4 linked regions of the Saccharomyces cerevisiae S288C genome follow. The gene in region 3 interacts genetically with the main gene of each other region. Each region holds a gene or a part of one and is shown on either strand. Other genes may lie near its edges. The genes, in order: PAH1, PMA1, SPO7 and BRR6.

Region 1 (5,007 bases), on a different chromosome or scaffold from region 3:
GGTCGTGTTATCCATATCTTTATCATGCACCTTTTTCTTATTTCACTGCAGTTTAACGAAAAATTGACAAAAGAACCGGGAGATACCAAAGGGAAAAACCAAAAGAGTCACACAGGATTGCAATAGAAATCTTTCTGGTCTTTTCTACTATGGTGATTTTATTATACCCCTCCTCTTCCTGTTATACACGCATTGTATTTCGGCATTGCCTCTTGGCCGCTTTTTTCACCTGACGTAATACCTGTTGCAGCAAGCGAGTTTCGTGTGCGTATAGAAAAGTATTTACCTTGACATTTCGAAGAAGTATGTAATTACCAAATAGCTCAGAAGAACACTTGGTACGTAACAATCATCGTTTACCTTTTTCTTCTATCAAAAAATTTTCTTCTTTTTTTTTTCCTTCTCTTTTCTTAAATAAAATTGAAAAATTGTTACTTAGTACTTCATAATTTTACTTAATATGCAGTATGGATCGTTATAAATAATATTCGGCTACAAGAATCTTTAATCTTCGAATTCATCTTCGTCGAATTCATCGTCATCGAATTCATCGCTTACTCTTGAATCCAAATCTTTATCGTCCATTGAGTTGTGGGGTAGCTGATTGCGCCCTGTTTCATTAACACTTTGCTCCCTTCGTGATTCGGTATCTGAATTCCCAAGTGAATGTACGTCATTTGAAACGTTGATCTTTGAAACAATTCTTGTTGGAGCGCCGGCCTTTGACACAGAGAGCTTTTTGAACTCTTTATCGATACTAGTCGCGGCTGCAGAAGATGCTCTCCTTGATTTAGTTCTATTGTAATTGGAGTCTTCATCATCCATATCGTCTAAATATCTTAGTTTTGGCGATGCAAGTGGAGAACCTAGCTCCAAATATATTTGTTTTCCAATGTCCCCTTTGGACATTGTAGATTTATTGGGCGTGGATCCTGAGCTACTATGGGAACTCACCAGGTCAGACGCATTTTCTACATCAGACGAAGCGGCTAAAACTTCGTTGTTATTTGTGCTGCCGCTCACATTTCTTTGCGGGGCTTTAGTGACCTTGGCGGTTTTGACTGAATTTGCCCTATTTCTACTAATGTTGCTTTGTTGTGATACGTCAGTATCTTCATCGATGTTATCAGAATCATCATTGCTAATATCCGATAAGTTGTCGATGTCGACTAACGGGTCTCTCCAAAAATTTACGTCTGTGAATTTCTCTTCCTGATTGCCTCTAAATAGCGTTTTGCGACCTGAAGTAATTTCTGAGTCAAAGTTATCCAACGTTCTATTAGGGGGGGAGCCAGGAACCATGGAAGTATTAGTTCTTAGATCGACACTATCAAGGCTGACTGGTGGAAAGAAATGATCGACAAGCTCATTGATATGAATATAGGAGCTTCTGTAACCTGCTAACTCCAATAATTCCATATGAACCTCACCCTCTGTATTTATTGTGAAAATTCTTGAACTAGGTATCCCCACAGTTCTGTAAGATAAAGCATCAGTAATCCTATTACCAAAGCCGGCAAAAAATGGTGTTGATTTTTCCTCTGTATCCACTTCGTTATCACTGTCTTCAAAATACAAGGATCTTATGTCGTTTAGACACGCGATTTTAAAGACTTCAGGTTTTTTTAGTATTACTTCCCGCCTTAACGCAGCCATCGTTCTATCGGGTGATAAAATCACAGGCCCATTTGGTAGTTTGCTGCCATTCTGTTCAATTGATCGCAAATAACTCCTCGTGGAATCAGCTTGTCCAGCACTTCTTGCAGTTAGATAGAGTATATTATAGCCATTCCTGGAGATCTCGCTAAATAACTTGGCTACACCCAAGTGCGTCCAGTCTTTTCCTATCATTGCCAGAACATGGCCTAAAGCGTCCGATTTTGTGATGGTGCCATCAATATCACTGATAACAATTGGAACATCCCACCTCCAAACGAATAATTTTGACGTAACAATAGCTTTTCCGTGATCTACGGAAAATTTCAGATCATTTTCACCATAAGTTAAATTTAGGCACTTTAACTGGTCATTAGTCAATCTTATCGTTCGTATGTATCTTTTCTCGGTCTCACCGCTCCCTGCTGTTCCTTTCTTGCTAGTTTTTTCACTTTTACTGCTTTGTTCTTTGCTAAATGATGTTTCGTCCTCAGTATCGGAACCAGAAGGTGAAGAAGATAACGAATTCAAAGTACTTCCTGATTCCATTGCATCTAAGCCTAAAACTGATCCGCTTGTGGCCATTGTTGGAGGCGTACCTGGAGGAGATAAATCAGTAAGGTGCTCGTAAGGATTTACGATCTTGATGTTGCCATTTTTGTCCTCCTTGATAAAACTGGAAATATCTGAATCATTACCGAATTCGTCCTTTAACAACTGCTTCAGTTGTATGTCTGTGTCATGCATCATATTCTTGTTTGGCTTGTAACCTTCAGTGTCTAGTAGTAAGTCGCCATTGTTATCAAGTTTACTGGGTATATGGATTTCAGTGAGTTTTTTGTTTAGTTTTTGCTGAAAGTTCTTTGTACGCTGCTCAACAAGCTTCCTCTCTTCAACTGAATCTGGTGGTGTCGTTGTAGAGGATTCAGTAGGAGAAAGCGACCCTGTAGTTTCACTATTTTTACTGCCTGAATCTCCAGTGTCATTGATATCTAAAAAATCTGGTTCCTCTAGCACTTTCTTTTCCTTCTTCTTATTTTCATTTTCACCTTCACCTTCACCCTCGGTTCCTCCTTCTAAGATGGATGTTTCAGGTGATTGAGGGGGGCTTGATGTGGCGCTCATCACGGGCGACACAAGCAATTCGTCAGGGACATCAGTGACCTGGTCACCCATCTCGAAAACGAAATAGGCTTCTCCAGAATCACTCAGTTTCATTGGCATATTACTCAGTTTCTCATTTATAAACACTTGGACTTTCTTTTGAGATGGCTTTAGAATTTGAAATTTGCCGAACCTCACATGAAAGGGAGAACATGATAGCCTTCCGTCTGGATGCTCCACTACAATGACATCTATAGCACCTGATAGCGTAGCCGGATTGATAGAAGACCATGTTTTAGACACAGACCCAAGAGCTCTGCCTACGTACTGCATAATCGACCGATGTGTCTATCTTCAGTAATTTCTTCCCTGTATGTTTCTTAGAAGGTAAAACTGTGATTACGAAGGTGTAGTGTCCAATTGGTCTGATTAACACTTCTTGAACACGTTTTACTAAATTGTTGAATGTATTTTCTTTATAAACACAAGCCCCCACGATGGCCTACTCTTCACTTGTCCTTGCTCTTCCTTCTACCCTCACCGTGCGCTGCTTTCAACGCTGGCCGGAAAAGCCGAGAAAAAGAGATAGATAATAGAGAAAAGAGAGCCCATTGTCTAAAGGGAGGGAAACCGAAGGACGAAAAGGGCCCGCGACAGACCGTTTAGAGAATGAGCAGCACGTGGGCACTTCGATTTTGTCTCCCAGTGATGTAGTGTTATGATATACAAGATGAGTTTGGACCCTGTTCAAGCAAATCTGTCACATTTGTTAGACTTTTTTTTAAACGAGCCCTCCAAACAAGAACGCTCAGTGTTAGGAACTGCGAACGAAGAGAGAAATGCGTATTAAACTTAGATGAGTATTCTTGCCGTAAATGACTATATACAAAACTTATTCGGAAGAACCTATATCTATGTATGTGAAATGATAAGTACAAGACCCACTGTGATGTGCAGTGATGGCGAATAGGGTGAGGTCCCTTGTACTGTCTTTATTGTAGCCGCTTGTAGGAAAAGTTTTATCACATAAAATTATCCTCTAGAGAGTTAGATGAGCCAGAAATCAGGCTCTTAGTCCGTTGGAAATGCGTTACTTAATCCGCGTAGGGTCATTTGATACAGAAGCAACATTATACTGCTCTGAACACTTGTCCAGACGAATCTAGGGCCAACGCCACTAAAGAAACCTAACACACCTTCAGATTGGTAGACCGTCCGAAGGCTGAGCGAAATCGAGTTGGAAAGTGCTGCCGGTCTGCCGTTTGTTACATGTGGATGTGTTACTGAGTATGATTTGTTGCTTTGGCTGGGCGGCTGTTGAGTTTGGACTCTAGTCTTAACAACATCCATTGGTGTGGTAATGATTCCCGCCAGTCCACCTGCACAGGCACCAGTCAATATTTCATTAGGTATAGACAACTCACCATCCCTACCATCTTTCTGTTCAATCTTGAAAGCCAATTGCCTAAACTTTTCGTAGAAGGCAAACTGCAATGCACTAAATGGCAAATCTCTGGCTAAAGTGGCTTTGTATCCAAAAAATAGTGAGCGAAACCCTTCTTCTTTTATAACTGTCTTTATGGCATTTCTTAAATTCGAATAATTATAGCCAGATTGAAAGAAAGGATTATTGAACCTTCCTTGCAATTGTAGCCTTGTCTTTAGGACCTCTGATGGAACATAAACAAAACTGGAGATAAAATCGCCAAGAAATCCAGCGCTCAAATGTGTGATGGTATCGTTAATCTGCCAATCTTCTATCATTGTTCTCTTAGTATATTCATAGGTCCCAAAGAAGATTGCCGCTGACGGGAAGGAGCCTAACATGGCAGCCATGTAACCGCCGTATAGCCCCCTTCTCACGCCTTCTTCTAGCCAAATGGTACGATATGCAGAGATCATGTTCCTGTATTTTTTGACATTGGGTGCGCCCTGTTGTCTTGTCTTAACAGTATCCAATGAATGCATCGCAGAATCTCCTATTTTTCCACCAATCCCACCGGAGACGACACAATGCCATATAGGGCTTAAGTCCTCATCTGAATCGCCTCTTTTTTTGTGCAGTTTATCATCTTTTCGGTTATTATTTGGTTGATCTGGAGTTCCTTCTGATGTCGGGGGATGGTCATGAGGCGTATGTATTATCGGTATTGAAGAACTCAGGTTCCATGAGTTCATTATCTTTTATACCAGTCGGTTGGAAGTGAAGATTATTATGCGTGCTTCGTTAGAATACTCAGCGTTTGT
Region 2 (5,217 bases), on a different chromosome or scaffold from region 3:
AAATTAGTGTGTGTGCATTATATATATTAAAAATTAAGAATTAGACTAAATAAAGTGTTTCTAAAAAAATATTAAAGTTGAAATGTGCGTGTTGTGAATTGTGCTCTATTAGAATAATTATGACTTGTGTGCGTTTCATATTTTAAAATAGGAAATAACCAAGAAAGAAAAAGTACCATCCAGAGAAACCAATTATATCAAATCAAATAAAACAACCAGCTTCGGTGTGTGTGTGTGTGTGAAGCTAAGAGTTGATGCCATTTAATCTAAAAATTTTAAGGTGTGTGTGTGGATAAAATATTAGAATGACAATTCGAGATGAAATTTTAAGCAAACTCTAGTAGGAAATAAGCGGCTTATTCTTGTTGGCTCCTAATTCTTTTTAGTGTATCAGTTCCCATTGATAAAAAAATTAAAATTAAAATTAGAAAAATTAAACCAGAAAAATCAAGTTGATTAAAATGTGACAAAAATTATGATTAAATGCTACTTCAACAGGATTAGGTTTCCTTTTCGTGTTGAGTAGAGACTCTTTGCATAGCAGCCATGAAGTCTTCGACACTTCTGGTAGACTTCTTTTCCTTCATTGGCTTACCGTTCATCAATCTGTCAAAGGCTTCAGAAGTGGACATTTCGTAGTAGAAACCACCCAAAACACAGAAGATACCGATAGACCAGATCCAGACACGGACGACAGTAACAATATCAGTCCAGTTTTCAGACCACCAACCGAATAAGGTAAACATGGTAGCGATGATGTCGACAGCGAAGACGGCACCAGCCAATTGCCAGGATGGGATAGAAGACCAGAATGGACCAGCAGCTCTGGTAATGAAAATCAACCAGTTTTCAGTCAAGGAAATTTGCAAGAACATAATACCGTTCATAGCACCGAAGTTTTGGATAATACCACCCTTTGGTAAGAACATAGTAGTCAAGGTAATCCAAGAACCTATAGCTAAAACTATGCCCAAAATAATAGACATACCCCATAATCTTGGTAGGTTCCATTTAACGGGCTTTGGAGAGTAAGGAGCATTATCGTAAGCAATAGCCAAAGTAGCAACATCAGCGAAAATAGCGATGAAAACAATCAAATCAATGTCCAAAGAGTTATCCAAAATAGCAATCCATAGACCCAAGAAGATTTCCAAATGTAGAGACAAAGCAATACGGTAAACAACGTAAGAGTACATTCTGTGAAAAATTTGTCTGGAGGTCTTCAAAGCATCAATAATAGCAGATAGACCAGGAGCCAAGAAAACAATATCAGCAGCAGATCTGGCAGCATCAGTAGCACCTTCGACAGCAATACCAGTATCAGCCTTCTTCAAAGATGGAGCATCGTTAACACCATCACCAGTCATAGCAACCAAGTAACCTCTGTTTTGCAAGATTTCAACAACTCTGTATTTATGTTGTGGGAAAACTTCAGCGAAACCATCGGCATTTTCAACAAAATCAGCTAATTCAGAACCTGGCATGTCACCACCGCCACCTAGACCTAATCTTTCAGCGTTGTAAATGTTGGTACCCAAACCCAATTGTCTACAAGTTTCCTTAGCAATACCAACAGCATCACCAGTTAACATCTTAACTCTTAGACCCAAGTGTCTAGCTTCGCTAACAGTTTGAGCAGTATCGTCTCTTGGTGGATCCATACATGGCATAACACCCAAGATTTCCCAGTGACCTTCACCTCTCTTTCTAGCAACACCTAAAGCACGGAACCCTCTAGAAGCCAATTCAGCAACCTTGTTTTCGTAGTTTTCATGGACATCTTCTGGGATTGGGTGATCTTCTTCGACAGTCTTCAAGACGAATAATGGAGCACCCTTAACACAAACAATTCTTTCACCTTCTGGAGATTCGACAACGGCAGTAACCTTCTTGGAGACAGGGTCAAATGGATGGAATTCCAAAACCTTGTACTTGGTCAAAGCGTCCTTAGCCTTTGGATATTGCTTCAAAGACTTCAAGAAAGCCTTATCAATAGCATCCAAACCCTTCTTCTTTCTGGAAGCAGCCAAACAAGCAGTCAACATCAAGTCGTCTGGAGAAACACCTTCAACAGTGTATGGTTCGTGCAAGGACAACTTGTTCTTGGTCAAAGTACCGGTTTTGTCGGAACACAAGATTTCGACACCAGCCAAGGATTCAATAGCAGACAACTTTTGAACAATGGCTTGTTTCTTAGCCAAGTAAGCAGCACCGACGGCCATAGTGGTGGTAACGACAGCTGGCAAACCGACTGGGACACCAATAATAGTAATACCTAGAGTGTATCTCAAGATTCTAACAATACCGTTGGTTCTGTAGAAACAAGCAGTCCAGACCAACAACAAAGTGGCAATGACCAAAACCAATAAGATAATACCAATACCGTTCAAAACTTCAGTGAAATGACCTTGACCACCAGCGGCTTTGTTAACCAAAGCAGCAGCTCTACCAACGAAAGTGTTGTCACCGGTAGCGGTAACAACCATGAAACCTTCACCTCTCTTAACAGTGGAAGAAGAGAAAGTTTGGTCACCGTAATGTTTGTCGACAGCCAAAGATTCACCAGTAATAGCAGATTGATCGATTTGCAAGAAACAGTCTTCAGTGACAATACGACCATCAGTTGGGATAACAGTACCATCTTCCAATTGCAAAATATCACCTGGGACGACTTCGTTGGCTGGAATTTCAACCAATTGACCGTCTCTGATAACAACAGCAGTGTTAGCCAAAGTCTTTTTCAATTCATCGACAATAGAACCAGCTTGGAATTCTTGAACGAAACCAACACCAGCGTTTAACATTAACAAACCACAGATAACACCGAAATCGACCCAATCGGACAAACCGGCAGCCAAAATAGCAGCGGCTTCCATAACGAATTGAATTGGACCGACGAAAAACATAACGAACTTAACGACTAAAGATTCTTTTTCGTCAGCCATTTGATTCAAACCGTACTTCTTTCTTCTTTTCAAAACTTCATCGGAAGTTAAACCGTAAGATGGGTCAGTTTGTAAATATTCTTCTGGAACTGGTCTAGCTTCACCGGCGGCAACTGGACCATCGTTATCACTGTCTTCGTCGTCGACACCGTGATTAGATTGTAGTTCTTCGATTAAAGCATCGATATCGTCATCGTCAGAAGATTCAGATGCAGCGTCATCGTAAGTCTTAGCAGGCTTTTCTTGAGTTGGCTGATGAGCTGAAACAGAAGATGCTGAAGAGGATGATGAAGAGGATGATGTATCAGTCATATTGATATTGTTTGATAATTAAATCTTTCTTATCTTCTTATTCTTTTCAATGATTTTCTTTAACTAGCTGGGGTATATTTTTTTTCTTTCTTTTGAATGTGTGTATAAAAGAGAGAAAAAATGGTTATTTTCCAATTAATTAATTATTAACGATTGTTAAAGAAAAAATTTATCAACGAGGTTGATAGAAAAAAAAAGTTTTTGTAGATATAGAAGAAAAAAAGATTTTCACTATTGGTGTTATAGGAAAGAAAGAGAAAAAATTTAAGAGAAATTAGATGTTAGACGATAATGATAGGACATTTGAAAATAATACAATATTTGGCCTTTTTATATAATCGAAACTAATGGAGGGGAGCATAAGCGGTACCCACCATCGACCACGTTTCGTCACCGGTCATAATTGGAATAAACAAAACAAACAAACGAACTAAAGAGTGTGAGAGTAACAATTTCCACAGAGGTAAAAAAAAAAAAAAGGAAAACAGAAACAAAAAAAGCTCATAGTTCTACTATAGCTTCTTCAGACTTTCTGTGAACGAGGGAAAAAGACAACAAAAAAGCAATGGATAAACGGTCTCGAGAGATTTTTCATGATGGAAAAGGAAGGAAAAAAACCCGAAAGGCATATGGATAACATTCTGAAAATGTCTATTCCTGTCAAAAGCATGTCAGAGGTCTCGAGGCCTGGAAGTGCCGCATTAGGAAATACAGATGCAATGCGCGCGAGTTTACGAAATTCTCGCAGGAGTTTCTCCGGCCATGTGCGGCTGGTTCTACGTCTCGTGTATGGGTTTATTTCTGCGGTAATTATCGCCGGATCTCCGCTTCGAGACCGGGTTTGTTTTCAAATTACCGGAAAAGGTCAGGCAAAACAGAGTGATGTATGGGTGATCCCAGCAATGCCTGTTTATGTTTCTCCGTTTCAGGAAGCTTGTTTTGTTTTTTCCCCGTCAGCGATGGTGACGTAAACGACTTTTTGCACTTTAGCAAAGCTGAGTTAATCTCGGAAAATCTCTGTGTCCTTCCTTTTTCTTCTAGCTTCCGTTCCGAGTCTCATCTTCTTTCCCGTGCCGTCGGGTTTAGTAAAGAAATGTAAAGAAAAAATGTCGTATCGTACCCGAGAAATATTTCAATTCTCTTACGTATGCGATAGCAGTTGGAAAGATCTGATTCGTTACGATGACTTGATAAGCGCGGGCTTTTTCGCCCTATACGGCTTGGGCCTGACTAAAATGTGATTCTGTGTTTTACGTATATGCGCGTATATAGAGCAATTGATTGACTTATTACGCAGTTTATCAAGATAAATTCTTTGTTCTTGCTTACGGGAGTGTGGTAAGCATGTATACGCCCGTTTAAAAACCCGATGGAGGCTTTTTCCCCAATTCTCGTACTCCATTGGGCATATGATTTCTTTCTTTTTCCCTTTTTTTTTTTTTCTATTTCCCTAAACTAACAGAACAAGCTTCAAAACAAATGACGGAGAGAAAAACAGTTTTGATTTACCAAATGCGGCAAACTTATTGAGGCTAGACACAGCTCTACCGGATTCGTCCGAGCACTTTTTTGTTTTCTTTTCTATATTTACTACAAACATAACAAAGTTTTGTGCGTCTTCCCTAAAGCAGCTAGGATGAAAATCCTATGCTCTCATCTCGCTGGTTGCCATCTCATCGCATCCAATGCTGTCTGTAATCATTTTATTGGACTTTTCTTTGTTTGCTAATCCCCCTTTTCTTTTTCCCGTTCTTTTCTTGTCCTTGTTTTTCATTTTAACTATATTTCTGAAATTAAGGAAAAATAAGGCAAAAAGTGGGTGGATGCATCTGCGACTTCTCTAGTTTTGCGCCTACTTGGGCGCGCTAATAATAAGGGTTTAGCTTCTTAAAATAAAAATGTCAGTAACAGTTGTACGATAAGGTCTTTACTTTTTTTCTCTCGAGAAATGTCTTTTTCT
Region 3 (3,218 bases):
TCCTCGGTAATTGCCGTACTGTTGCCCACAGTTGGTTCCAAGGGACCCTGTTGTTTGACAGCTGCCCCTAAAGAATCATTGAATATCAACTTAGAAGGCTGGCGATTCATCAAGTAAAAGCCACCAGCAACTATGCCAGCACCGCCTAACCCTACAGAGCGAGTTAAGGGCTTTCCTAATTTATTGGCGACATTAAACCTCCATAAGGGGACGTTCTTGAACATGCGCTTCCCAACATTCAAATTACGAAACACCAACCGTTGCATATTAAAAGCCAAAGTCATTTTACACCTATTATTTTAAGTTCTTCCTTCTTGCCCCTCTAGCGTTATGCTGTTGTATGTATAATAAGATGCCTTGTTTAACCAATTTCAACAACCCCTAGGTTTTCTAGCACTTGTTGGAAAACTTAAATATGAAATGACGGATTTGTAAAATTTTCACGACACAACAGCTTCACTTCTAATAATGTATAAAATATAATTTATGTGTGAACATAGATGGTTACAATTTTACATAGGTAAATATGACCTCTTATTCGAAGGAAGAAGCCCTCCAACTCTTTCATTCTGATTTAGGTCGGAGTTCGTGCGCTTGTTTGCGTCTTCTAGCACCTTCCCTGGCCCAAAACTCGTCTCTATAAATCTCCCATCCTTCTCTAATCTCTGCACTAAATGCTCTGGGGTTGAGGACTAATTTCACATCCACAGCTCCGATCCTCGGTTGGGATTGTATCGTGACACTTTTCCAAAATTTCACAATGGCATTATCGTCTTTAAGCCACAGAAATTTTTTCAAACAATAAATATTACAATAAGCAATTGTTCGACTCACAAATCTTACTGAATCTGTGTATTTCTCGTCCCACGTAGACTGTACTTTAACTAGCTTCACATTAAACTGCCTAATCCCTTTATTAGTAGAGGTAAAAAATCTTCTTGGAATGACGATAGTTCTTCTATATTGTCCACTGATATGAAAAAGAACTACAGTAATGGAAATGAAAGAAAGAGTGAATTGCAAAATAACCCTATGGAGGCCCTTGACATAATCTGAAGTGAAATAAAGTTCGTAGAAGGTAAATGCGCCTACACCGGCCATAGACGCTAAGAACAAAGTGAATTGCCACTTCAGTATCTTTTGTTCGTGAGCTTGGCGTCTTAAATCATCCTCCAGTATCAACAAATTCCTGAAAATCATCGATGCTGGAGAGATATTACTGGAGTTCCGTATATTCTTCGCACTGGATGTCTTGCTAGTAGAACGCCTGCGAGGCCCGGACACTATACTGGCACTATCATCCTGGGCATGGTTCCCCACATCGCCTATGCTCTCTGGCTCCATGACCTCCTTTATTTAGCTTTCCACTACCTTTCTTCCTTTGTGTGTATAATCAATAGATTTTCGCTAAATTTCGCATCTTCCCTTTTAAGAATAATTAGTATTTAATTTTACTTTGACTTTATTGTTGAGTGAAGAAACAAAGCAAATATACGTTAGGAAAAAGACACGAACAGAGAAGACCGATCTTGATGCTACCCTATATGGACCAAGTACTAAGGGCATTTTATCAGAGCACCCATTGGAGTACGCAAAATAGCTACGAGGATATAACGGCCACATCGAGAACATTATTAGATTTCCGAATTCCCTCAGCAATACACCTGCAAATTTCCAACAAATCTACTCCCAATACATTCAATTCTTTAGATTTTTCTACGAGGTCCAGGATAAATGGTTCTCTGAGTTATTTATACTCCGATGCACAGCAATTGGAGAAATTCATGCGCAACTCTACTGATATCCCATTACAAGATGCCACCGAAACATACAGACAATTGCAACCAAACCTCAATTTCAGTGTTAGTAGTGCGAATACGTTGAGTAGTGACAACACCACAGTCGACAATGACAAGAAATTACTACATGACTCGAAATTTGTTAAAAAATCCCTTTATTATGGTAGAATGTACTACCCCAGCTCTGATTTAGAAGCAATGATAATAAAACGACTAAGTCCACAAACCCAATTTATGCTTAAGGGTGTCAGTAGTTTCAAAGAAAGCTTAAACGTTTTAACGTGCTATTTTCAAAGAGATTCTCACCGCAATTTACAGGAGTGGATATTTTCCACCAGTGATCTATTATGTGGTTATAGAGTATTACACAATTTCCTTACCACGCCTTCCAAGTTTAACACCTCACTGTACAATAATTCTTCGTTGTCGCTTGGTGCTGAATTTTGGTTAGGGTTAGTAAGTTTAAGCCCCGGTTGTTCGACAACTTTAAGATATTACACACATTCTACAAACACAGGACGACCACTAACTTTGACATTATCTTGGAATCCATTATTCGGCCATATATCCTCCACATATTCGGCCAAGACAGGGACAAATTCTACTTTTTGCGCGAAGTATGATTTTAATCTTTATTCGATTGAATCAAATCTTTCATTTGGGTGCGAATTTTGGCAAAAAAAGCATCATTTGCTTGAAACCAATAAAAACAATAATGATAAATTAGAACCAATCTCCGACGAATTGGTTGATATAAATCCAAACAGCAGAGCGACTAAACTACTGCACGAAAATGTACCGGATCTGAATTCAGCTGTTAACGATATTCCTTCTACACTAGATATACCTGTTCACAAACAAAAGCTATTAAATGATTTAACTTATGCATTCTCGTCGTCATTAAGAAAAATCGATGAAGAAAGATCTACCATCGAAAAATTTGATAACAAAATAAATAGTTCCATTTTTACCAGTGTTTGGAAATTAAGCACGTCATTACGTGACAAGACTTTAAAACTATTATGGGAAGGCAAATGGAGGGGATTTTTAATATCTGCCGGGACAGAGCTGGTATTCACTAGAGGCTTTCAAGAAAGTTTATCCGATGATGAAAAGAATGATAATGCAATATCTATATCAGCAACTGATACAGAAAACGGCAATATACCAGTTTTCCCGGCAAAGTTTGGCATACAATTCCAGTACTCCACATGATGAGTAATGTGAAATAAAATAAAGGTTTTAATATACAGGTTAAAAAATAAGTAATACAATGTGTATAATCATAATGGCGTTAAAGCAGAATAAAGTAACCGAACACCTTATCTTTTGTGTCTTCTGCTTCTCATGGCGTGCTCCCACTCATTTAGTTCGAACCGCAAACTTTCGCTCAAAGCTTCATCATCGTATCCATCCAAT
Region 4 (3,081 bases), on a different chromosome or scaffold from region 3:
GACAATTTAAAACATTATGCCGAATTGAAATGTACGCAGCAAGTTGCGAACATATCGGATACGCATAAGTTTGAGCGTAAACTGTTCCGGACCTGGCTGCAATGCTTCTTAGTTGGGATCCCAAGGATCATATATGGTTTTAAAGACGACCATTATGTATTAAAAACTGTGGAAGAGTTTTCAACGGAGGAAGTACCTGTTTTATTAAAGAACAATAATCCACAAGTTGGAAGTGCATGTTTAGAAGCCATTAAATGGTATGGTCTCCTTACTGAGTGGCTTTTGAAAATGATACCAAGAGATGAGGATCCTCATTCTCAAATAAGAGCATTTAAGTTGGTTTTCGAAAATAATCACCTAAGATTATCCGAAATTGAAGAAAGTGATGAGGAATATTCAGGTTTGATTGATGGAGAACATATATTATCGAACGGGTTTAAGGAGTGGAGAAAATCTTTGAAATAACAATATTCCTTTATGTCTTTCCTGCGCATATCCTCATCGACGTATGGATCTAAATAATATAAATGTGCAGATTAGATTAAGTTATATACACTATGCATGGCGAACCGATTTTGTATCTTTATTATTGAGATAAACCCTGTATGATCCGAAACTCGTATTGGTAACAAATATTATACCTATTATGCTAATTAAAATGAAAAGGAAAGATCGTATACTGAACGCTTCAAAAAAAGCATTTATTACCTCCGCCAGAGTACGAGCCCATGCTTTAGCCCATTGGTAATCGGAGCCAGACACTATTTCCTTGTTCATACATTTTGACCATTCATTGCAACGTACCTCCAATGCTGGAACCCTCATATGAGGTTCGCACTGGTTTTCAAAATACCTTGATTTGCAAGTTGCAATTTTATCTAATTCTTCCCTCACGTTATGCTCCAGTTTTAAGTTAACATCGTTTCTTATCATCAAAATGAATTTAATAGCAAGAGACAGTCCTATAGTTCCTATAATAAAATTGAAAAAAAGCTGTATATACTCCGCAATTAAACTTGGGCTCAACCAAATGCTTTGTCGGGCTAATCTAGCATCTTGCGGATGTTCACCTTCCAATACTTCCTCCCTTCCCAATCTTGGGTTAGCAAGTATGCCATCAGGCTGTCTAGAAAAACTACGGAGTTCCATTCCGGGACTTATGTTGGGATAGGGGATTCAAAGATGAGTCTACATAAGTTAACTCATCAATAATAATGGAAAGAAGTTTCATTAGTTACTACTAGTATTTTGCTTGCTCCCGGGTAATGAATTTTTCCGCTTTTCATCTACGTAGTATTATGTTATTGACGTTGTGTACATTATAGAAACAAAGTGTGGCCTTCTAGCGCAATAGATATTCTCAAGTCTCCTAAGTTCCTCTCCTCAGCTAAAAATCGTAACTCTTCGAGTATGGTTAGTCTTGGGTCTCTTTTAGCAGGTGTTGACTTAACGTGAGTAACGATAACATTCAAACCGCTTAATCCCTTACTACTGTTGTATAAAGTGTTCAAATTGGATAATTCGTTGATTAAATATATTGGAGATAGATGACCATACAATTGCTCGGGCTTGGAAGATAATGGGCATGAACATTCGACTAATATACCCTTGAGATGCACAAGCGGTATATTTTCAGCAACGTAAGACCAAAATTCTTCAAGTAGAGATTCTTCAGATTCTCTGCGGTCCTGCTCAACATCTCCGCAAACTATTATACAGTCTTTGCTTTTCCTGTCTCTGAAGATATAGAAGGTGCTGTATACCGGCGCGCCAGTCTTGACGCCTATCCCATGATGAACTTTGAACGGTATTACATCCCAAGGAAAGATAGTGCACTTTTGAACTTCCTTCGGATTCAAGCATTTTAGCTTCAATTTTCTTGAACGTTCTGCCGTTAAATCTGGCCATATTAAGTCATTAAAGACATGCTTTTGCAAAACGTCAATAGTATGCGGTAATCCCCAAATAGTTTTCTTTTTACTGTTTTCCTGCTCATATATTGAGGGGGAGTTTACTACCAGCCCACTAATATGGTCCAGATGGGGATGGGTAATGTAGTAGTCGGTAATTCCTTGGAAAACCTCGTAAGTTTTCTTCATTGTATTGGCGCTTTCAAAATGCTCTCCCTGCCTCTTTAATGATTGTAGCAAGGACTTGGATAATCCCTTTTGTATGTTCAGTTTGGAATCAATAAAAAACTCTATTGGCTCTCGATCATGTTCATAAAAGCTTGGAACAAGCTCATCATCACCTTCATTTTCATTTCGCCCTTGGACCAACATCTCCCGTAGCTGGTACATTCCTGCACCACCGTCTACAGCTATTAATTCTGGATCCTCTGTTCTAGCAGGCTTAAGTATAAAACACTGTGTTCCGTATTCGGTGGGTCCTCCATTGGCCCCAAGTATAGTTATTTCGAATACAACCATAAAAAGGAATATTGGTAAAAAAGGGGATGAAGAAGAAGAACCTCGTTAAAAGCCACTTTCTCTTGGAAATTTCTAAAAATATAAATTTCAGATATTGCTTCCCTCGAAAATGGAAAGGGTTTGACTATTGGTAATTTTTAGTTTCAAGTCACGCACCCTCACCAAAAAGTGCATCTTAATCAGTAACTCATTTTCCGTGCGGTATTTTTTTCGGGTTGTTTATTGTGACAGATGTAATATTATACATACGTTAACATATGATCTACAGATACTCCGATGATCCAAGGGTATAAAAAATAAGGTAAGGGTTAATTAGGTGGCTAGTTCATGTTAATAAATACATTTTCCTTGGTTGAATTTACTAACTGTAGCATGTAGTCGAAGAACGAAAGAGGCAGGCGTAGTATAAATAGTTTACCGGGTAACGATCCTTGCTGGATTTACCATTCTAAGGTTAATAACTTCTTCAGGCGAGTCATTTGTGAAACCGTAAGCATTTTAACAGCTTTGCTTTCTTCCTTTATTATTGCCATAAAAAATTCTTCGAGACTATATGTCTGGAAAATTTTCCGTACTAAGAGGATGTTAAATCCCAAATCTAGAAGAATATCGGCATTTGCAATATTTTTTTCTTTCTCATCGTTATATGAAA

What was found.
Region 1: of SPO7 (region 3) and PAH1, a mutation in one rescues a mutant of the other (synthetic rescue), as found in Saccharomyces cerevisiae (3 studies listed by BioGRID, with this or other methods).
Region 2: mutations in SPO7 (region 3) and PMA1 together harm fitness more than expected from each alone (negative genetic interaction), as found in Saccharomyces cerevisiae (2 studies listed by BioGRID).
Region 4: mutations in SPO7 (region 3) and BRR6 are lethal when combined (synthetic lethality), as found in Saccharomyces cerevisiae (2 studies listed by BioGRID, with this or other methods).

What each region holds. Positions count from the first base shown.
Region 1 is NC_001145.3:589,536-594,542, forward strand, and holds PAH1 (phosphatidate phosphatase PAH1), read right to left. Parts: upstream 3,094-5,007; coding exon 505-3,093; downstream 1-504. Other genes in the region: MSS11 (Mss11p), read right to left, coding at 1-15; MME1 (Mme1p), read right to left, coding at 3,832-4,938. UniProt on the Saccharomyces cerevisiae protein: Mg(2+)-dependent phosphatidate (PA) phosphatase which catalyzes the dephosphorylation of PA to yield diacylglycerol. Required for de novo lipid synthesis and formation of lipid droplets.
Region 2 is NC_001139.9:479,410-484,626, forward strand, and holds PMA1 (H(+)-exporting P2-type ATPase PMA1), read right to left. Parts: upstream 3,258-5,217; coding exon 501-3,257; downstream 1-500. Other genes in the region: YGL007C-A (uncharacterized protein), read right to left, coding at 3,532-3,618; BRP1 (Brp1p), read left to right, coding at 3,851-4,228. UniProt on the Saccharomyces cerevisiae protein: The plasma membrane ATPase of plants and fungi is a hydrogen ion pump. The proton gradient it generates drives the active transport of nutrients by H(+)-symport. The resulting external acidification and/or internal alkinization may mediate growth responses.
Region 3 is NC_001133.9:133,980-137,197, reverse strand, and holds SPO7 (Nem1-Spo7 phosphatase regulatory subunit SPO7), read right to left. Parts: upstream 1,345-3,218; coding exon 565-1,344; downstream 1-564. Other genes in the region: FUN14 (Fun14p), read right to left, coding at 1-284; MDM10 (Mdm10p), read left to right, coding at 1,533-3,014; SWC3 (Swc3p), read right to left, coding at 3,122-3,218. UniProt on the Saccharomyces cerevisiae protein: Regulatory component of the NEM1-SPO7 complex which acts as a phosphatase and dephosphorylates the phosphatidic acid phosphohydrolase PAH1. Essential for the formation of a spherical nucleus and meiotic division.
Region 4 is NC_001139.9:35,001-38,081, reverse strand, and holds BRR6 (Brr6p), read right to left. Parts: upstream 1,150-3,081; coding exon 556-1,149; downstream 1-555. Other genes in the region: RAI1 (decapping nuclease), read left to right, coding at 1-465; 3',5'-cyclic-nucleotide phosphodiesterase PDE1, read right to left, coding at 1,320-2,429; ZIP2 (Zip2p), read right to left, coding at 2,870-3,081. UniProt on the Saccharomyces cerevisiae protein: Required for mRNA nuclear export. Involved in the nuclear pore complex (NPC) distribution and nuclear envelope morphology.